Linked DNA regions of Tribolium castaneum. The protein of the gene in region 2 binds, or shares a complex with, the protein of the main gene of each other region. Links are inferred from orthologs where the notes say so. Each region holds a gene or a part of one and is shown on either strand. Other genes may lie near its edges. The genes, in order: Hem and Cyfip.

Region 1 (10,241 bases), on a different chromosome or scaffold from region 2:
ATTTTTCACACGCACGATACTTATTTACCATGAACTCTCCAATCCTGATCACTCCTGAAAAAATACGTTGGCCTGTGTGCTATCGAGCGATTCAACTAAATTTGTCGTTTTTTAGGTTAACATTATTTTTGAATGCAAACTTTCTTTGAAAATATGTAAAGAAACATTCTCATTGACCACCAGAGGGCATAAGTGAAAAAATGGGTAAGTACCATACTAATTAATCCAAAATCTACTAACAATTTTTTAGCCCAAGCAATTTTTTTCACTTTAAAATATGTAAAACTAGTGTTTGTAATTACAGTTACGTTTTTTCCGATTTTTGTTGTTTAAAAGTTTCTATCTCTTCGATCCAAATTTCCACAACACAACTATTAAAGATATAGAAGATAAAGATAGATATAGAAGGGAAAGTTTGTCTAAATGTACACGTAGTACATTGCCATTTAACCAAAAAAAAAAAAGAAAAAATGCATATATTTTATACAGCGTGCTTAAAAACTGGCGCACCAATTCAATGGTGTGTAGAAGAGAACTGGTTAAGGTAAAAATAGTAAAAAATTCTTTGTAGTAAAGTTATTGATAAATTACTAGTTTAAATCGACAAAAACTGCGACGAAAATTGAAAAAATCAAACATCAAAAAATCGAACATATGGACTTTTTGTGGACTTTTAACAACTTTTGTGGGTTGTTAAGACGTGTAGAAGTCCATAAAAATTTACTAGAGTGAGTTTAAAAAAAATATTTTTTTTCACCTCTTTGAAGGTAAGTGTTTTACTCAGGAAATTTTAGCAAAAAAATTGAAAATTTTAAATCTCGTGAAAAGTTGGTACAGAAAATGAGCCGCTGAATTCAATGGAACAAACCGCATTGCTCTACGACTTTTAGTTTTCGAGTTATGAATTTTTTTGTTGAATAAAACTGTTCACCATAAATACCGCTACGCTAAATTTAGGCAAAAAATTTTAAATTTTTTATTATTGATATATTATGTAAAATGAGCCGTAAAATTTAATCGAACAAACCGCATTGCTCTACGACTTTTAGTTTTTTTTATGAATTTTTTTAGTGAAAAACTTTGATCGCCTCTGTAGCCGGAACCGTTGCCCGGAGCGGCTCCGGGTTTAGACGAAAAAATAGCTAAAATTAAACGCTATCAGATGGTTTTTTGTTCGTTGCTCTAAGTCTTACAGTTTCCGAGAAAAACGCAAAAAAAGGTTTCCATTTTCACTTTTTTTCAATTTTCAATCGCCAATTACGACGAAACTATTAGAGTTATCGAGAAACGGAAAAATGGAGAATAACCGGAATAAAAAACTCTACAAAATGGCATAGGACTCAAGGCGATATCTCCCAAAAATTTTCAATTTTCAAACGCCGATTACGGCCAAACTAAAAGAGCTAGGAGAAAACGCTTTTTTAGATCGGAAAGAGCACATCAAAATCTATAAGATAGAATCGGTTTTATTTGATTTTGAGACACTTTAAAAATTGACCGATTTCTAAGGGGGGGGTGTTAACTTTTTTTCAATTTTTTTTATTTTCTCATTTACGGCTAAACTATTCTAAAAAGTGGAACTATTTTGATTCATACCTATGCAAAATGATCCGGGGAATCGATTGGAATCAAGAAAAGCGCTAAATTCCCAATAGTTTTTTAGTTATGAACTTTTGAGTATATGATCTAATTTTTGCTTTTATTTGCATTTTCTCGAAAACTATAAGTCGGACAACAATAATCTTTTTTGCAAATGATAGATCATTAAAAGAGCTTTCCAAAGATAGGACACATCAGGGGGTTATCTCTAATAGTTCCGGAATTATTCCTTGATAAATTATCAGGGTACCAGAAATCGACAAAATTCGCGACAAAAATTGAAAAAATCAAACATCAAAAATTCGAACATATTAGATAAATGATATGTGGCAACGTTGTCTAATAGTCATGATCGCAATAGTTAAGCAACAATAAAAATAAATTGTTTTTGAAACGGTTTCCTAGGAATTAATTCCAAGTGTTGGCACATCTACACATTGTGATTTTTTGCATGAATTTTATTTTTTTTTATTAAAAAAACTGCTAAAATCTGATTATTCATCGTTTTGTTACGGAACGATTACCTGGCATGAAACATAAAAATATAAAAAAATAATGAAAACTAAAGAAGTTAACACAATAAGTTTGTAGCTCTAGATTGTTTAAATATGACTAGGAATTTTTTCAACACTTTTACCGTAATCTGCACTTGCTTCTCAATAACGCACCACTGAGTTGGTGCGCCAGTTTTTGAGCACCCTGTACATGGAAAACGCCAGAAAGAAAGTTTTAGTTCCTAAGATTTGTTTCATCTTCGTATTCATTTTTTTGTTACACTATTCTTCCTAGTTTCATAATTGGAAACAACGAAAGATGAAATAAGCGTGTTAATGGTTTAGTAAAAATAAAAGACGTACAGAATATAAAAAAATTTACAATACATGTTGTAACACTACAATATCATGATATAAATGCTCGTTACTTAACATAATGTATTTAAACTAATTAAATAGGAATTGTGATACAATTGTGTTGTACTTGATAGTACTAAATGATGAATAAAATTTGTACGGGAAATAAATACTTAATTTACGCCAACAACTGCTCCTGCTTATACACCGCGTGATAGGCATTCCTGATCAGCGCATATGGAAAGCACGACTCCAACAAATCCATCGTCAAAAATGGCGACTCTTGCACGATCTGATCCAACAACAAATACACACTCTCCCTATTTTTCGTGGCCTCCTTATCAGCCTCCTGTCCCAACCTGAGCAAACTCGAGGACGCCAACGCCAGAAACTCCTTCATCCGGTCCTCCATATCCCCCTGATTACAAATCGTGAACAACGCCCCGAAGATATGATTAACCGCCAAGGCCATACAATGAATATTATTCGTATGCCCCTCAAGCGACGCCCTATAAAACGACTGCTCTTGCTTGGCCAGCTTGGGAATCGACACCGCCACAAACACCATCAGCAAACAGGTGATCAAGTGCTCGTCACTGTCCACCTCCGGCTTCTGCAACTTGAGCGCATTGACCAGCGTCGGATCCACCTTGCAGGGAATCCCCGCCGCTGAGCACATCTCACTCACGACCTTCAGCGGGTCACCGCTCGGCAAATGGTGGCGGAAATCCAGGATCGAGCTCAGGAGGAACGGGATCCTCTGCTCCAGGACATCAGTGAGGCACGACTGCGCCAACTGGCGGAAGCTCAGAATCACGCCGACGATCGTCATGCGCTGGAGCACGTTCTCGACGCTGGTCAGCTTCTTGAACTGTTCTTTCATCACTTCGGGCTTGTCGAAGTTGGTGCGGAGCAGCAAAAGGACGTCCTTGTTGGCCTCGGCTAGTTTCTTCAACTCGATGACTTGACTGGCGATGTGCCACATCAGCGTCTCGCTCAACTGCTTCATACCGTAGGGACCGATCAGCTCCGCCAGGGCGCGCAGCTCGTTCACGTCTGAATACTCCTCGGGGTTGAACGGAATCGCCGCCTCGGCGGTGAGGCAAACAAACGAGCGTTGGTTCATCGAGAAGATTATATTGCCGGCGCTAACACGTCGCAGTAACACTTCGGAATACCACTGGGTGTAAATCGCAGCTATGGTTTTCTCCCCATGGCTGTCCACAGGCTGGGTTTGTTGCAGGAGACAGTTGTTAAAAACCCGGGTTATGTCAATATGGACGTAGTTCTCCACCGTTTGGAGCACGTTCATGTAGGCGCGGACGCTAACCAAAAGCTCGGACGGTTTGGCGATTTCGTTAGTGTCCGGGCTATACATGACCATGCCGACCAAAGCCCGCGCAAAGCGATTCTCCAAGTGCTGGTGCAAGTATTCCCTAGGAGCGAACGTATACTCCCAGACGTTTATATTCGAGAAGTAGTTAATAGCATAGCAGAGCTCGGTCAAAGCCATGTGCAACTTATCCATAGTCGTCAAATTCTCCCTCGTTTTCCTGTAACTCTCCTTGCCCGGTTTCTCGATCTCGAGGGTGTTCTTCTTATTCTTCTCCTTCTTCTTGCGGTTCATTTGCTGCGAGATCAAGTGGGCGCAGTTTTTGGGCAGGAGCTTGTCGCTCATCTTGCACTGGGCGTCGCAAATCGCCGTGATAATGTTCTTGGCTTCCTTGGCCATCTCGTCCAGGAAGACGTTGACCACCGACAGGCTGCGTTCGCGGATGTGGTGGCGCTCCTCGGGGCACAGCTCGTGCGTGCAGTGCTGGAAGTGGGAGCAGATCGACGGGAAGGCCACGATGAAGCGGTTCTGGGCCGGGAACTCCAGACACATGTGGAACTGGTCCTCGAAAATGCGGTTGTAGAAGCAGAAGATTGATAAATCCGAAGTCTCGACTAGCATTTCGTCCAGATTGTCGACCATTTTCGTGTGGAATTGCACGGTGTCCAAAAACTGGGCCAGGTCTTTGTTGTCCATGATGCGCAAGAGGGCGTTGCCTGTGGACATGTACGCCTGCAAGCGGAACCAGTCCAAGCGGAAGGCGAAGAAGTTGAACGTTTCGTTGTCTTCGACTTGTTTGACCGAAAGGCCCGAGATGGTGTTGCACAAAGAGGAGAGAATTATGCACTCGTCTTCGCCCACCGAACCCAAGTTTTTCTGGATCATGTCTTTGAGGACCAAGGCGTCGAAGTGTGAGAGGTACTGGACGTAGTACCTTTGCATGACTTGACTGTACTTTCGGACCAACACCCGTAAGTCTTCCATGTGGAAGAGGAGTTCTGGCAGGTGTCTATCGACTAAATCCTCGGTCGATTTACCCTTGTTTTTTTGTTGGGGTGGGTTGTCGTTGTGACGCAACAACCATAAGACCTCGTCCCGTGCGTAGCACAAACCCATGAAGACCATGAGGGCCTTCGGCCCCAAAAGCCCCGGCTGGTCCATCAAAATCAAGCCTAATTCTTTGAGGGCCGTCCTTAGGAATTTTCGGCGTTCGCGGTGTTTGTACCCAGCCTTTTGTATCGCTTGACTGTGGCAATCCTTAACCTCGGACGCCCTTTTACTATAGCCCTTGATGGTATCAAAGTACCCACAGATGTACTGATGGGTGTAGATAACCTCGTCCCGGAACAGGGGCAAGACCCAAGACGACTCAAGCGCATTGATCCATAATTTATTCAAATGATCTTGCTGCAAGTGCGGGTGAATTAGCAACAAACCGAAGACAATCCAGCGTTCCATGGTATCAAGCGAGACGTACTCGCACGACATCCGGTCGGCTATCACCGGCTTGAGGAGCGAAGCTGGGTTGCCTACTAGACTCAACTTCAATTCAGAGCGCCATTTATCAGCCGAGACATTCCGGGCGATATAAATGGGTAGAAGCGAGTTCAAGGCGCTTAGAAGCAGCTTAGTGTGGGGCACAAACTCCTCGCATAACTTTTTAAACGGAATCTCATACTCCATGATCATGTTGCCCAACCGCGGGAAGCTTGAATCGGGCGAGGAATGCACGATTTCATAAGCGGCGTTAAAAAGCCCCAGAACGGCCTTGCGGTCCTCAACCCGCGACAGCAACACCATCAGAGACACGTAGGTCGTCACCAAGTCAAGATAATGCTTAGTGAGTTCGAAATTGAGCGAAATATCAAGCTCGATTTGAAACGCCCCCATGCTAGTCAACAACTCGCAAACGTGGTCTTTGAAATCAAGCAAATCGACGAACGTGTAGTAATACAGCGACAAAGATTTGATTATCTCGTTCCTGAGCCCTTGAATCGCAGTCAAGTTCTTGCTGTCGACGTTCGGAAACCGCCGCACAATGCTCTTGATCGAAGACTCCAAGTTCTTGTCGGAGAGAAACCCCGGCTTGGATTTGGCGTCTCCGCAGGCTTTTTTAATGTTGTAGATGCGTGTGAGCATGCCGATGCCCCTGTCGTTGAGGATGATGAGTTTTTCGGCGATTTTCCGCTCGCTGGGGGCGAGAGGACGGGCCATTTTGATTTAGTTTCCTGTTAATTATTTAATGTTATGAAACTGTAAAAAAAGTGTTGGGCGTACCTTCGACCCGGACGTGAGTTTTTAAGTGATGAATTGTGTTATTTCATCGTTTTTTTGGTAAAATGAGATATTTTGATTTGTTGGTTAACGAAATGTCAGATAAACGTCAGAAACAAGGCGGTGACGCTAGGGATTTCAGCCCGGTTGTGATGGCAGTTTGGAGCCATTGAAGTGTAAAATGTAGATTGCGCGAGCTCATCGAGTTCACCAAAATAAATGGCGAAAGTTTACTGAATATTTTTTGTTGTTGTTAAGAAATTGTTGGACGCTGATTTCAAAACTGCAAACAGATTTTAAGGGCTCTAGTTTTTGAAATGTACAGGCTGTCAACGATCCGAAAACGCTTCATAACTGGTTTATTATTACTTATTAGAGATATTGACCTTTGATGGACGTTAAATTTAAAATTTACACTCCAGAAATAACAAATAATTACTTAAAAAAAATAGTGTGCTGCGAAGTTAAAAAACAATTATTTTTTATGTTTGTGATAAATTCGTTCTCTCATAACTCTCATACTTTTTGACAATTAAAAAGAACAAATTTTTATTAAAATATTTATTTATTATCATTTAAAAACTGTTGGAAATGTCTTCCTTGTTGTTCAACACACATAACACATCGCCTTTGAATACAATGATAAAAATTGTTCTATAACATCCGTGAAAATATCAGAGCATACTGCGAGTTTTTTGGGGAGCTTTCCAAGGCTAGAAAAGTACATTCACAGAAACGTACAAGACAGTTAGAATATAAATGAACAAACAGTTAAATTTATGGCAACAGACAAAAAATGAAATTCGGTAAAACATTGTTAAACATTTATTAAATAAAGTTTATAATTTCAAAACATCTGAAACTCAACTGGGTAACATTGTATACATAATTATCACACACTTGTTAAAAAAAATTTGGTAACTCAATCGGTCATAAAAATTATTGATCCTCGAAAATATCTAATTTTTCCCACCATTTTGAATTTATTTGCCCGATTTGTTCCCGGTGTTTTTGCTGAATTTTTTCGTACGTTTCATTGGAAAACGACGTCTCTAATTGCTTACAGTGTTCTAATTTAGTTATCGATTTTAGTTCCGTGGAAATCTCATCAATGCTTAAACACAGTTTCTTGATTTCGTCTTTTTTCTTCATATTTGATTGTAATTTCTTCTGAAATAAATGAATTTCCTCTAGGACTTGTTTTATTTCGTCATGGGTAACACTGTTTTAATTAAAAAAAATATATAAAAAAAGATGCGTCACTTGGAATTGTTGACTTACTTTTGGTTCTTATCTGTTTTTGTTTTCGTAGCCGCCTTGTTCTTCGATAAATATCTCCTGACACATTTCTGTATAATAATAGCGGCTTCGTTGTCCTTCATGGAAAAGCTTAATTCTTAAATATTTACCTTGGAAAATAAATAACTTTGAAAGTTTAACGTTTTGTTTACCTACAGCCCACCGTGTGAGGAAACTTTGTGCAATAATTGACAGTCGTGTTTGTTTTCAAAGGTGTTGCTAAGGAACGTATAAATGATGGCCAATGGAGTAACCCAAGTGGCGCCGTAAACTTTTATAATGGAGGTGTGAGTGCTGTTTTCTTGCTCCGAAAACAAATAAAGATTGATTCGGCGAAATAAAAAAAGAATTTAAACGTTGGCGTTGCAATGTATTATGCAAATCTAGTAGCCTTATAAATCATTTTATAGAAATCATAAAACACCGACGGAAAGGAAAAATAAGTTGTCTCTTGACACTTTAATAACTACACAACAAGATAAATAATGTTTAAGCTCCGGCTTTGTTGCAATAAGTGAATAATAAGTAACGTATGCATTATTTTTCTTATCAGTTGCGGGTAAAGTAGGCCACGATTAAAAGATTTCGCTGGTATATTGTGTTATAAATCTACAAGAAAAAATCTCGAGAATTATAATGACGCAGAAATAAAAATTTTACAACGTTGGCAAGACGCGAACCGTTGAAAATTTTATTGCGGGTTCACAAATATAACATTGTTTTATATATCGCATAGAGTTGGTTGAATTTCGAGCGGTGGCGCCACCTTAAAGTATTTCTGCAACTCTTATAGAATTAAAGCCATTCATCACTCCTTTTCACCTAATATTCTAATTGCAGCGGGATAAAGCCGGAGAAATAATTATAATTTCGAAGAGAGTTTTATCCAACTTTGTGTAATTATTGTCTACTTAAAAGCTCTGCGAATTTTTCATTCAACTTTGCGAATTCAATCATTAAACTCCGCCGTTACATTCACTTACCGCTGGAGCTATGAAACAGATCCCTTGGCAAGATTTTAGAATTCGTTATGTTTGTGCATCTTGCCAAGAGCTTAATTTTTAAACAGCGACTGTTGCATCCGGAAGCTTAGTAATCACTTTTCCACCGGAACGGTCATTATCGTGAGTTGGCGGCGCCGCATTTAAAATTAAAACATGTTGACAGGGAGTCTTTCTCGGAGGGGAAAATGACATTTTCCGACAAGCAGTGCTAGTAAATGTTGCATAATTTATTAATGGCAGGGCCCAGTGTACACACGAAGAGATAACAATATTGATTGGACAATGTATGTACATTTATGTGTATATTGCTAGCTCACATTTACCTCAATCTGTCATGTCGCGATCACATTTAATTACTATAAATTTCGCTGAATTGGAAATTTGAATTTCGACGCAATTTGAATACGTCAATAAATTCACTAACTCGGACTGAGTTAGACGAAATTAAAAACAACAGCAAATGGATTAATTATAATCTGAAATGTTCAATCACTCTGTAAACGTTTAGCCACGTCCATGTTTGAAACACAAAACGTTATTAATGCCGTATTAAGGCAGGCAGCAATTTTTTTAGTCACTGTGATTTGCTGTGATTTTAAAAAACAAAAAAATATAAAACAAAAATACAAAACTTTGAAAGAAAAGTGTAGTAAAGTCGGCGAATTGGATCGAGAAAACATTTTGTTCCACTTTTTTAAATCTAATTCTCTAATTTTTCACCAAATTGCATCAAAAAATACAGGCGTTCAAGTTGATTCTACAATTTTAAAATTATTATTACCTCTTTAGTGGCTTTCAGCACGTTTTTGACCGAAAGTGGACATAATTTCCCAAAAAATCACCAAATTTGTGTATTTCTAGTCAAAAATAGTGGACGTACACAAATCCTACTGTATTCGCAGTGGTCATGATTTTTATTAACAATGTTTTTCGGGACTTTAGTAAACAAACTCAGTTAACTAAAAATTTTTTGAGATAAATTAAATGTTTTCGTTTATTTTTTTTATAATTTAAGAAGTAAGTCATCTAAGGATTCAACTAAAATTTGAAGTCATGCTTCACCTTTACGTTCATCTCTTTTTCTCTCAAAACAAAAGGTATTTTTCCTATATTAGGATGTGCTCTTACGTTTACAATTTGGCGCCTTTACTTACTTTTACCTTTTGCCGCATTATTTTCTTATTTCTGTCAGTTTTATGCTTCACTATACATTTATACGTCTATGTGTTCTCTCAATCTCTTATTTTTGTTTACGTGTTGTTTCCTTACCTTTTCTACACTTTTTTTCATAGAAAAATTGTTACCCTGATCCGGGTTCGAACACCTGACCTCCCCCGTCGTAAGTGGCGCTTATACCACTGAGCCACCAGGGCCCAGGTGCTGACCGTCTTTTACAGATATTTTAACACAAACTTTTTAAATAAATCAACTTTACATACTATATAATTGCAATAATTCACCTAAAACGCAAATACATTCAGTTCAAAAGTCGGCGAATTAGCTCGAGAAAACATTTTCTTCCACTTTGTTTCAATTTAATTCTCTAATTTTTCACCAGATTTCATCAAAAGATACCGGGTGTATAAGTTGATTCTATAATTTTAAAATTGTTTTTATTTTTTTTGTGACTTTCAGCACGTTATTGACCGAAAATGGACATAATTTCTCTTAAAATCACCAAATTTGTGTATTTTCTAGTCAAAAATAGTGGACGTGCACAAATCCTACTGGATTCGTAGTGGCCATGATTTTTATTAACAATGTTTTTTGGGACATAACTAAACAAACTCAGTTAACTAAAAGTTTCTAGAGATAAATTAAATATATTCGTTTAATTTTTTTATAATTTAAGAAGTAAGTCATCTAAGGATTCAACTAAAG
Region 2 (10,039 bases):
AAACAGCAGACAAGGACTCCTGGGGCATTCACAATTCGCCCCAAAGTATATCAATTTCAAGTCTTAACTAAATTATTAGTTAAACATTTCCACAATTTCACAGCAAAAAATCAGTGACTCGACAATGTTTGGTTGAAAACGACGAATTTCTCATAATAATTTTTAAGTAATAATAAAAAAAGTAGATATGTGCCCTGAATACTATTGAAAAAATGTAAAACATAATAATAATACAATAAAAATACAAAATGAAAACAACAGCAAAAGAATAATTACTGAAGTTTAGCTTTATTTCTTTTTTAAATAAGTTTACTGGCTTTGACTTTAAATGATTTTTGATGTTATTATAAATGACAATATAATCTTTTTTTGAACAAATGTGAAATATTTTACCCAAGACGACTAGTGCTAAAAATTTGTAGATTTTGAAACTTGTTTCTTGTTTTCACTTTAACATTATTGTTTTTGATATCTTAAAATGGAAGTATTGTGAAAAAATATCGGTTCAAGCAAACGCACAGATTTTAAAATATTTTTTCACCGTTACCTCTAAAGAATTATATTGCTAAAAAACTACCAGTGGGTTTTTGACAAGAGAAAATTGGCAGTGGTTAAAACTCATCATCCCGAAACAAAGTAATCCTGATTTACGGTATATTAAATGCCACTCAAAAAATGAAGTTCTTTCAAAGTGTGTGGCATAATTCACCGCTTGAGTTTAAGTGATTTAATTGCATGTTTCATTCGTGCAGCACCTCGTCGCTAAATCTAAACAGTGAATACATACAAAGACGAAAACATTTTTTAAATTTCAGTCCAAGTTTCCTAATTCCAGTTTTCGGGACAAAAACCGGCAAATGTTTTTGTGAAGTGCTCGTAGAACAATTTAGATCCGGTACGTCCATGAAGTGATATCTAACGTCTTTATGGAGGGCACATTCTGTAAAAAGCGGCCGTTATATCCAGAAATGGGTTTGCACAGGTCCTAATTCTAAATCGATATTCAATTAACTTCGTTTTTGGTATATTTGCGTGTACTTGATGTGATTTTAGCCCTGCAAATAAATGGCAAAACCTCCAATTTGATTGCGGTATTAAAAGCTCTGTTCTGTCGCACGCGTGTTTTGGAATAGACCGGCGGTGGTCAAGTGTGGACGTGTTAAGGTGCGTTGAAGCGTTTTTCTGGCTGATAGGAACTTAATACCAGCAATGCGTCAGTGACAGTCCGTCATTCCAGGCGAGCAGAATGGAATCAAGCGTGTTATAATTTGACACTTGTTTTCGCGTCTACCGCTTTTGCCTCATATACTCCGGCTTTGCTTTCACACGGAACGACTTGATTTCTTCCCCGACAAACATTAACATTTTAATAATAAAGTAATAATAAAAACAAGTGCTTTAGAGCCGTTTCCTGAAATTTGTTGTGCTTTTATTGAGATGTGACAAATAGGATGTGATTTCTTAAACCCCGAGAACTAAGTTCGGTTTAATTCCGGATGAAAAGCGACGGCGTTTTGTTTGGGGTCCCTTTTTACTTTCAATTGACCGTTTGACACTAGACTGCCATATCAAGTTACTAAATTATATTAAATATTTTGAATGAACCCGTTCTGAAATGTCAATATAAGTTCGCGCATCTGTCGCTCTTACGACGTGCTTTGTTTATTTCCATCTTCGTTTTTGCGTGCATTGAAATACAACATCCAATGGCAATCAATTCTGAATTAATAGTTAGCGGATCCGAAATATGGCCACACATTAGTAGTTATGTAAATGTTACCCCTGAACCGGGCAAATTCGGATGTTAAAATGCGAAACATATTTTTATTATAATGTAAATATTTGTTTTTCGGAAATATTATTCCAAGAATTATTTCACGCTTATTTAAATTACAAGTCATATTTCAACAATGAAATAATCTAAGCGTTCATGTAAATTCGCGATTACTATTTACGCGGAAAATTAACTTTCTCAACTAAATGTCAGAATTTGCAAAAAAGAAACGATATTTTACGACTTATAGAAAGACAAATTTAAGCAAAACTAATATTATTTGCGATATCAGGTCGCCTCGCGCAAATTAGATTTCAAATAAAAACAAACGCGGTGCAAGAAAGTTTCTATTCAGTTTTCAGCAACGGAAACAAAATTAGAAATCTATAAAGGACTTTATGAATTGTTAAGAAAGTCGGCTAATTAGTCGTTTGGCAGACAAAATGTAAGTAGAAGTGTTAATTTTTTGTATAAAATAGCATTCTTGAACCCGCTGTTTAATTAATTTATCGCAAACTAATGAACAAGTGCATGCAAATTTATTATAATAAATTGTAAAATAAATAGAGATAATTAATAAACTGAACAAATGGCATACGCTCACTTTATTCCCCGATGAAAAAAATCTTAAAGATAATAACATTGTTATCAGCAAATTGCATACAATATTTACGTTTCATTATTAATGATTTTGTTTTATTTGCCGGTATCTTTTCAAAGAGAATTTTCATTTAAAACCTAATCAATTAACAGGCTTTATTACTTGTAACCACATAACAAGCTGTTTAGGAATGTCACTTTTTTAATTAATTTGCGACTAAAAAATGATTGATTTTATTATGAAGGCGCATAAAGAGCGGCCGCTCACGCCGAAACCGTCAAATGTCATGAATGTTTCACCGAGATAGATTTTCAACGATTTTTTAAAGCACTAACGAATTCAGATGAATTCGAATGATGAAAGGACAAGAAACGCTAAGAATTTCGGAATTATAAACATAACAAGCTGTCGCTTAAAACTCGACTGCACACTAACTTTTTTATTTTCCTCACTGAGAGCTCCTTTGGCACTAAAATACCAAACTAAAGGACCCGATTGCGGCCCGAAAATTCATTAAATTAACTGGCGATATTGCAAATCAACTTTTTTATTCGTTCGATTTTTTAACTGATATGATGTGATAACACTTCCATACAATTATATCGAAATGAGAATAAACAATATTACTGTGCTCTTGCAACAATTCTATTAACAATTTCATGCACTTTTTGTTCTAAAATAATTGAAAGGAAAGTTTTTTGCGTTCTACTAACGTGGACTAAAATAACTGAAAGTGTTCTTGAGTAATTTCTGAACCAAATATAGAAAAAAACACTTATCAAAAATAATTACACGGCGAGGAAATCAATTCGGTGTAACGATTTTTTTCTTTAATATATATTTGAACGTTTAACTGAGCGCACCACCTCTTGGTTGGCGTTCCAACTAACTCGGCCGGAAATATGGCCACAATCCTAGTAACTTTTATTGCATGGGGTTCTTGACACTCTAGTTTTATATTTGTCATTTGTTTACTTGTCTAATGCCGCACCTAAAAATGTTAAATATTTCTAAAATAGCACAAAATTAGTTAAGTTTGTTGTTGATAACAAATAGCCACGTTCTGGGCCATGTTTCTAAGAGTGTGTTTTTGTGTGGTTCCATTGACTGCAGTCTCAAATTTGGTTTTTTCCAGATTGATTAAATTATTTTCTCTCTGGAAAAACAGCAAGTGGAGTGCTTGAAATGGCAGGAACTGATCGAGTTTCGCTGAGTGACGCATTATCCAACGTTGATGTACTAGACGAACTTCCTTTGCCTGATGAACAACCGTGCATTGAGGCCCAACCTTGCTCAGTTGTCTATCAGGCGAATTTTGATACAAATTTCGAAGATCGGAACGGGTTTGTGACAGGAATTGCCAAATACATTGAAGAGGCAACAGTACACGCAAGTCTCGTAATTATTAAATGAGCCATTTGTGTCCCCTGTGTCAGTCAGGTCATTTACAGAACGAGTTATTAGAGGAAGGGCAGGAGCATGCTGTCATGCTCTACACGTGGAGGTGCTGCTCTAGAGCCATTCCTCAGCCCAAATCTAACGAACAACCAAATCGGGTCGAAATTTACGAGAAAACTGTCGAAGTGCTCGCCCCCGAAGTGAACAAACTCTTGAACTTTATGTATTTTCAAGTAAGCCCCTTTTAACTCAACCCGGTTAGGACTCCCTTAATCATTTCAGAAAAAAGCAATCGAGCGGTTTTTCGAAGAAGTAAAACGATTATGTCACACCGAAAAAAGGAAAGACTTTGTCTCAGAAGCCTATCTCCTCACTTTGGGAAAGTTCATAAACATGTTTGCCGTCTTAGACGAGTTAAAAAACATGAAATCAAGTGTCAAAAACGACTATTCCACATACAGAAGAGCAGCACAATTTTTGAAAGTCATGTCTGATTCACAAACACTTCAAGAATCACAAAATTTATCGATGTTCTTAGCCACACAAAATAAAATTAGGGATGCTGTTAAGGAGAATCTGGAACGAATCAGTGGCTATGAGGAATTGCTAGCTGATGTTGTCAACATTTGCGTGCACATGTTTGAAACGAAAATGTACCTCACACCCAGCGAAAAACACATGCTTGTTAAAGTTATGGGCTTCGGGCTTTTCCTGATGGACAGCGAGTTGTGCAATATTAATAAGCTAGACCAGAAGAAGAAATTGAGGCTGGACCGCATTGACCGGATTTTCAAAGTGAGTGGCAAAAAATATAAAAGCAACTCGCATTTGATTGAATAACTCTGTTCAAGCTTAAATTAGTTCAATTAGTCCTTTAGTTTTTGTTATCCGAATGAATTGAAATTTTGCATAGTTACGTAATCTGCGTGACGATACAATTTTGTGTATTTAATACAAACTACAAACAAAATTAGAATTTACTCTCAAAAATCGCTTTGTATATTCAGATTATAAAGTTTAAATTTTGTGTACTTACGTCAAAAATGATTTTCAATAATTAATCAGAGAAACTGTATAATGAGTAAGCTCTTGACTTAACATTCTTGCCAGATCGGTGGCAAATTTTATATTTAATGCTTAAATAAAATCACGACTGGTTTATAAATCTACAACATTTGACCAAAATACGAGAAAGCCCGTTTTTTCGTAGAACTTGGAGGTTGTCCCTTTGTTCGGGGACATGCAGATCGCCCCTTTCAACTACATAAAGCGGAGCAAGCATTTCGACCCAAGCAAATGGCCTTTATCAAGTAGCAATACTCCCTCTCCCCAAGCCGATTTAATGGTACATTTGCCCCAAATTCGTGACGATCATGTTAAGTACATAAGCGAATTAGCGCGATACAGTAACGAAGTCACGACAACATACAAAGAAAGCGGTACTGACGCTGAAAATAAAGAAACGGCCGAACTTGCGCTCCGCGGATTACAATTACTGTCTGAATGGACAAGTGTTGTAACGGAACTGTATTCATGGAAGCTTTTACACCCAACTGACCACCATCAGAATAAAGAGTGCCCACAAGAGGCCGAGGAATACGAAAGGGCGACACGGTATAATTACAGCGACGAGGAAAAATTCGCGCTAATTGAAGTCATTGCGATGATTAAGGGATTACAAGTGCTGATGGCCAGAATGGAAACGGTGTTCACTGACGCAATTCGGCGGAATATTTACGCCGAATTGCAAGATTTCGTACAGATTATTTTGAGGGAACCGCTGAGGAAAGCAATTAAAAATAAAAAGGATCTTATCAGAAGGTAGCGCGTTTTTGTGTCCACATCACGTAACACGTTTTTTTAGTATCATTATGTCGGTGCGAGAAACTTGCGCTGATTGGCAGAGAGGTGTCGAGCCGACTCAAGACCCGGCTTTGAGGGGCAAAAAGGACGATAACGGGTTTAATGTTAAAGTGCCAAGGAGAAACGTGGGTCCTTCCTCCACCCAACTTTACATGGTCAGGACAATGCTGGAGTCGCTAATTGCCGATAAATCAGGCGGCAAAAGAACCCTGAGGAAGGACATAGACGGTCAATATTTAATGCAAATTGACCAGTTCCACAAAACCTCCTTCTACTGGAATTATCTTCTCAGTTTCAGTGGTACGTACAAAAACATTGATATTAATTCATTTCCTCCCAGAATCGTTGCAGCAATGTTGCGACCTGTCGCAGCTGTGGTACAGAGAGTTCTACCTCGAGATGACCATGGGACGGAGAATAAACGTGAGTAACGCGTAATTTTGCCAAAAATTTGCCAAACTTTTCATAGAAATGCACCGTGCGTCACGCTCATAACGAAGAATGTAACGATTTGATCACGATGGAAAAACGCATACAATTCCCAATCGACATGTCCATGCCTTGGATTTTGACTGATCATATTTTGAAAACTAAGGAACCCTCGATGATGGAGTACGTCTTGTACCCGCTTGATTTATACAATGATAGCGCGCTTTACGCACTGACAATATTCCGAAAGCAATTTTTATACGATGAGGTCGAGGCTGAAGTTAATTTATGTTTTGATCAGTTTGTTTATAAACTGAGCGAGCAAATTTTCGCGTACTATAAACAACTGGCGGCAAGGTATTGATAAAAATCATGGGAACGCTTTCACAATCAATCCTTTCAGTATCTTTCTTGATAAGCGCTTCAGAGTGGAGTGTGCCGCCTTGGGGGCTTACCTGCTCCCCTACCCGCGAGCAAATCGTTACGAAACCTTGCTAAAACAGCGGCACGTCCAGTTATTAGGGCGGTCGATCGATTTGAATAAGTTGATCACTCAGAGGATCAACACCGACATGCAGAAAAGTCTCGATTTGGCAATAAGTAAGTTCGAAGGCGGTGACATAACCGGGGTTATGGAACTGGAAGGCCTCCTACAAGTGAATCGGTTGTGTCATAAATTGCTGAGCAAGTGGCTCGCACTTGACGATTTCGATTCAATGTATCGTGAGGCTAATCACAACGTTTTGGCGCCCTATGGCCGCATCACCTTGCATGTGTTTTGGGAGCTGAACTACGATTTCTTGCCTAATTACGTCTACAATGCCGCGACGAACAGATTTACTAAGTATCGGGGGCAGATTGCTTTCGCGGGGGCTGTCCACAGAGATAAGCCGCCGCAAATGTCGCATCATTACATGTGGGGGAGCAAGCAACTGAACCTTGCCTACACGACTCAGTATGGCCAATATTCCGGTAAATCTAGCTTATGGTCCTAATTTTGTTTAACTAGTACGGTTTAGGGTTCGTCGGGCCTCAGCATTTCCACACAATGTGCAAACTCTTGGGTTATCAAGGCATTGCAGTTGTGATGGAGGAGCTCCTCAAAATTGTCAAAAGTCTGATCCAAGGGAACCTCCTCCAATTCACCAAAACTCTAATGGAGGTCATGCCAAAGCAGTGCAAATTGCCACGTTACGATTACGGCTCACCGGGTAATGATTTGCTTGATTTGGGCGGAATTAATAAGACGAATTTTAGGTGTGTTAAGTTACTACCACGCCCAATTGAACGACATTGTCCAATACCCCGATGCCAGGACCGAGTTGTTCCACAATTTCCGAGAATTTGGGAACATTATCCTGTTTTGTTTACTGATGGAACAGGCCTTGTCACAGGAGGAAGTCTGTGATTTGTTGCAAGCGGCACCGTTTCAGAATATCCTCCCACGGCCGTTTTGCAAGGAAGGGGAGAAGCCCGAAACGAAGCAGAAACGGCTTGAAGCCAAATATGCCGCCTTGCAGATTGTACCAAATATAGAGAAGTTAGGAACTGCAAAGGTTGGATAAATGTGCAAACAACTGTTTGTTATTTCGCCAATTTGTAGCAATCTTTGATATCGAAGGAGGGCGATTTATTGACCCGTGAGCGGCTGTGCTGCGGTCTCTCGATTTTTGAAGTTGTTTTGAACCGATTAAGGACCTTCCTGGACGATTCGGTTTGGGTCGGACCGCCGCCTGCTAACGGTGTCATGAACGTTGACGAATGCACCGAGTTCCATCGCTTGTGGTCGGCTTTACAATTCGTCTATTGTATTCCAGTTAGCGAGAACGAATATACTGTCGAGTGGGTACCGACTTTATGTTTCGTTTTATTTATTCCGTGTTTCAGGGAAATGTTTGGCGAAGGTTTGCATTGGGCGGGGTGTACAATGATCGTGCTTCTGGACCAGCAAAGGCGGTTTGAGGCCCTCGATTTCTGTTACCACATTCTGAGAGTACAAAGAGTTGACATGAAGGATGAAATTGTGAAAGGCATTGTATGTTGGTTGTACGGTTGTTTTCGGTCTATAATTGTCTTTCCCAGAGCTTGAAGAGAATGGTGGACAGGATCAGGCGCTTCCAAGTGCTCAATTCGCAGATCTTTGCGATTTTGAACAAGTTTTTGAAGTCGAGTGAGAACGACGAGTTGTCGGTTGAACATGTACGTTGTTTCCCGCCACCGGTCTACCCAATGAATCCGCAACAGCACTACCACGCACCCGAACATCTACGCCAGTGTTGAAGCACGTTTATTTTATACATTTGTTGGAATCAGCTTTCAACATTTTATAATCTTTTATATTTATTATAGTCCTACTACATGTGTAAATCTCATTACAAATGTATCGCCCACCCTCATTTATTATCGGCCTTATTGGTATTGCTTTAATTTTTCATAATAAAATTTTCGATGCCTGCTTGAGTGTGTTTTATTTCGCGCGTTGTTTCAAATTCAGGGCTGCCAACCGGGGACTTAGTCCCGCTGGTGACTGTTGATAGCAGCTGTTCGTCGTGTGTTGACAGTAGTTGAGAGATTTGTCAAACTATAGAAAATAATTCAATAATTTTGTAGTATTTTCTGTATTTTGAAAAATTAGACAATGACAATTTTACCAGCCAAAAGACCTTCGGCGAATCCGGAGGAGAAAAGCGACAATAGTCAGCAAAATGTGAGTAGATATGTTAAACTTGTCATTTTTGATCTTTTTTTAAGGAGAAACTTCATAATCATAAATCGTGTTATCTTTATTGTCAGCGTGTTGGACTAGCGAAATCTTTGCTTGATCTTGAAATTTTGTACACGATTGCGTAATTAGATAGGTTTAATAATGTAATAATGTAAAATAGGTAGGTAATGATTGCTTTCCAATACTAGCTCAAGAGCTGTCTAGGTCGGCTTCCTTTGTTCGAATAATTAAGGCCCGACTTTTTTTAGGGGAATTCCGAGCGAGCGGTGCGTAGGAGAGACGATATAAGTTCTCTGAATGAGGCAAGCCCTTCAAGCCGCCGATCTCAGTTCCCCTAGTAAGTTTCCACCCTCAATCGCGGAAAAATTCATTCTTGCTTCCAGCGTCAAGTCAACAACTGAGCGGAAAGAGCGTTTGAGGAAGCGATATAAAGAGCCAGATCGGGCGCGAGATAGGGAACGCGAGCGCGAACAAAAACGGGAAGTTCGGAGGGAACAAAAACGGGAACGAGTTGCTAAACGCGATATCTCAAATGAGCCTCTACATGACAATAATGCGAGTAATTCGGTTGTTGACTCAGTCGCTGTTGAGCCCACTTGCAACAACAACGAACCTGGGACTGCGAACAAGGAAGACTACACGGGCTTCAACAGCGAGGATGAGTACGATGACCAGGGACTCCTCAAAGAGCGGAACATACCGGATGAAGAGTGGCAAAAAAGGGACGTGTTATTTTCCCGCGGCATGTCCAACCTTGGGTTCGAAATCAAGCAAATGAACGAAGATGGGGCCTGTCTCTTCCGGTCGATAGCAGACCAAGTGTACGGCGACCAAGAATTCCATTATCAAGTCAGGCAGGACTGCATGAACTACATCGTAAGTTGTACGCAAAGTGGGGATTTTTTCTAATTTGTTTCTGGAAGGTTCAAAACCGTGACTACTTTGAACCTTACGTGACGGAGGATTTTGATAAATACGTTGCACGGAAACGTATATGGAACGTACATGGCAACCATTTAGAAATACAAGCAATGAGCGAGTTATATAATAGGACAATCGAAGTTTATTGCTACCAAATAAGTAATTTTTGCCTTTCTTCCGCCTGATTTTTACTAATACGCCGTTTCCAGCACCAATCAATATATTCAATGGTTCAAGATTAATTAACTCATATGAGCCTATTAGATTATCATACCACAGGATGTGTCATTATAATTCTATTAGTAACCCAAATAAACCTTCAGTAGGG

What was found.
Region 1: Cyfip (region 2) and Hem share a complex: the UniProt entries of both Drosophila melanogaster proteins name them as parts of the WAVE complex. The link is inferred for Tribolium castaneum from reciprocal best matches to the Drosophila melanogaster genes Cyfip and Hem.

The regions. Positions count from the first base shown.
Region 1 is NC_087400.1:5,883,440-5,893,680, reverse strand, and holds Hem (membrane-associated protein Hem), read right to left. Parts: upstream 6,227-10,241; 5' UTR 6,061-6,226; intron 6,012-6,060; 5' UTR 5,998-6,011; coding exon 2,629-5,997; 3' UTR 2,458-2,628; downstream 1-2,457. UniProt on the Drosophila melanogaster protein: Plays a role during growth of the oocyte.
Region 2 is NC_087403.1:2,178,456-2,188,494, forward strand, and holds Cyfip (cytoplasmic FMR1-interacting protein), read left to right. Parts: upstream 1-3,298; 5' UTR 3,299-3,457; intron 3,458-3,510; 5' UTR 3,511-3,560; coding exon 3,561-3,773; intron 3,774-3,826; coding exon 3,827-4,006; intron 4,007-4,055; coding exon 4,056-4,568; intron 4,569-4,983; coding exon 4,984-5,594; intron 5,595-5,637; coding exon 5,638-5,936; intron 5,937-5,976; coding exon 5,977-6,059; intron 6,060-6,105; coding exon 6,106-6,422; intron 6,423-6,468; coding exon 6,469-7,037; intron 7,038-7,084; coding exon 7,085-7,276; intron 7,277-7,322; coding exon 7,323-7,621; intron 7,622-7,668; coding exon 7,669-7,907; intron 7,908-7,952; coding exon 7,953-8,100; intron 8,101-8,147; coding exon 8,148-8,345; 3' UTR 8,346-8,520; downstream 8,521-10,039. Other genes in the region: Duba (OTU domain-containing protein 5-A), read left to right, coding at 8,704-8,772, 9,039-9,127, 9,174-9,666, 9,714-9,870, 9,921-10,039. UniProt on the Drosophila melanogaster protein: Plays a role in guidance and morphology of central and peripheral axons and in synaptic morphology. Also required for formation of cell membrane protrusions and for bristle development.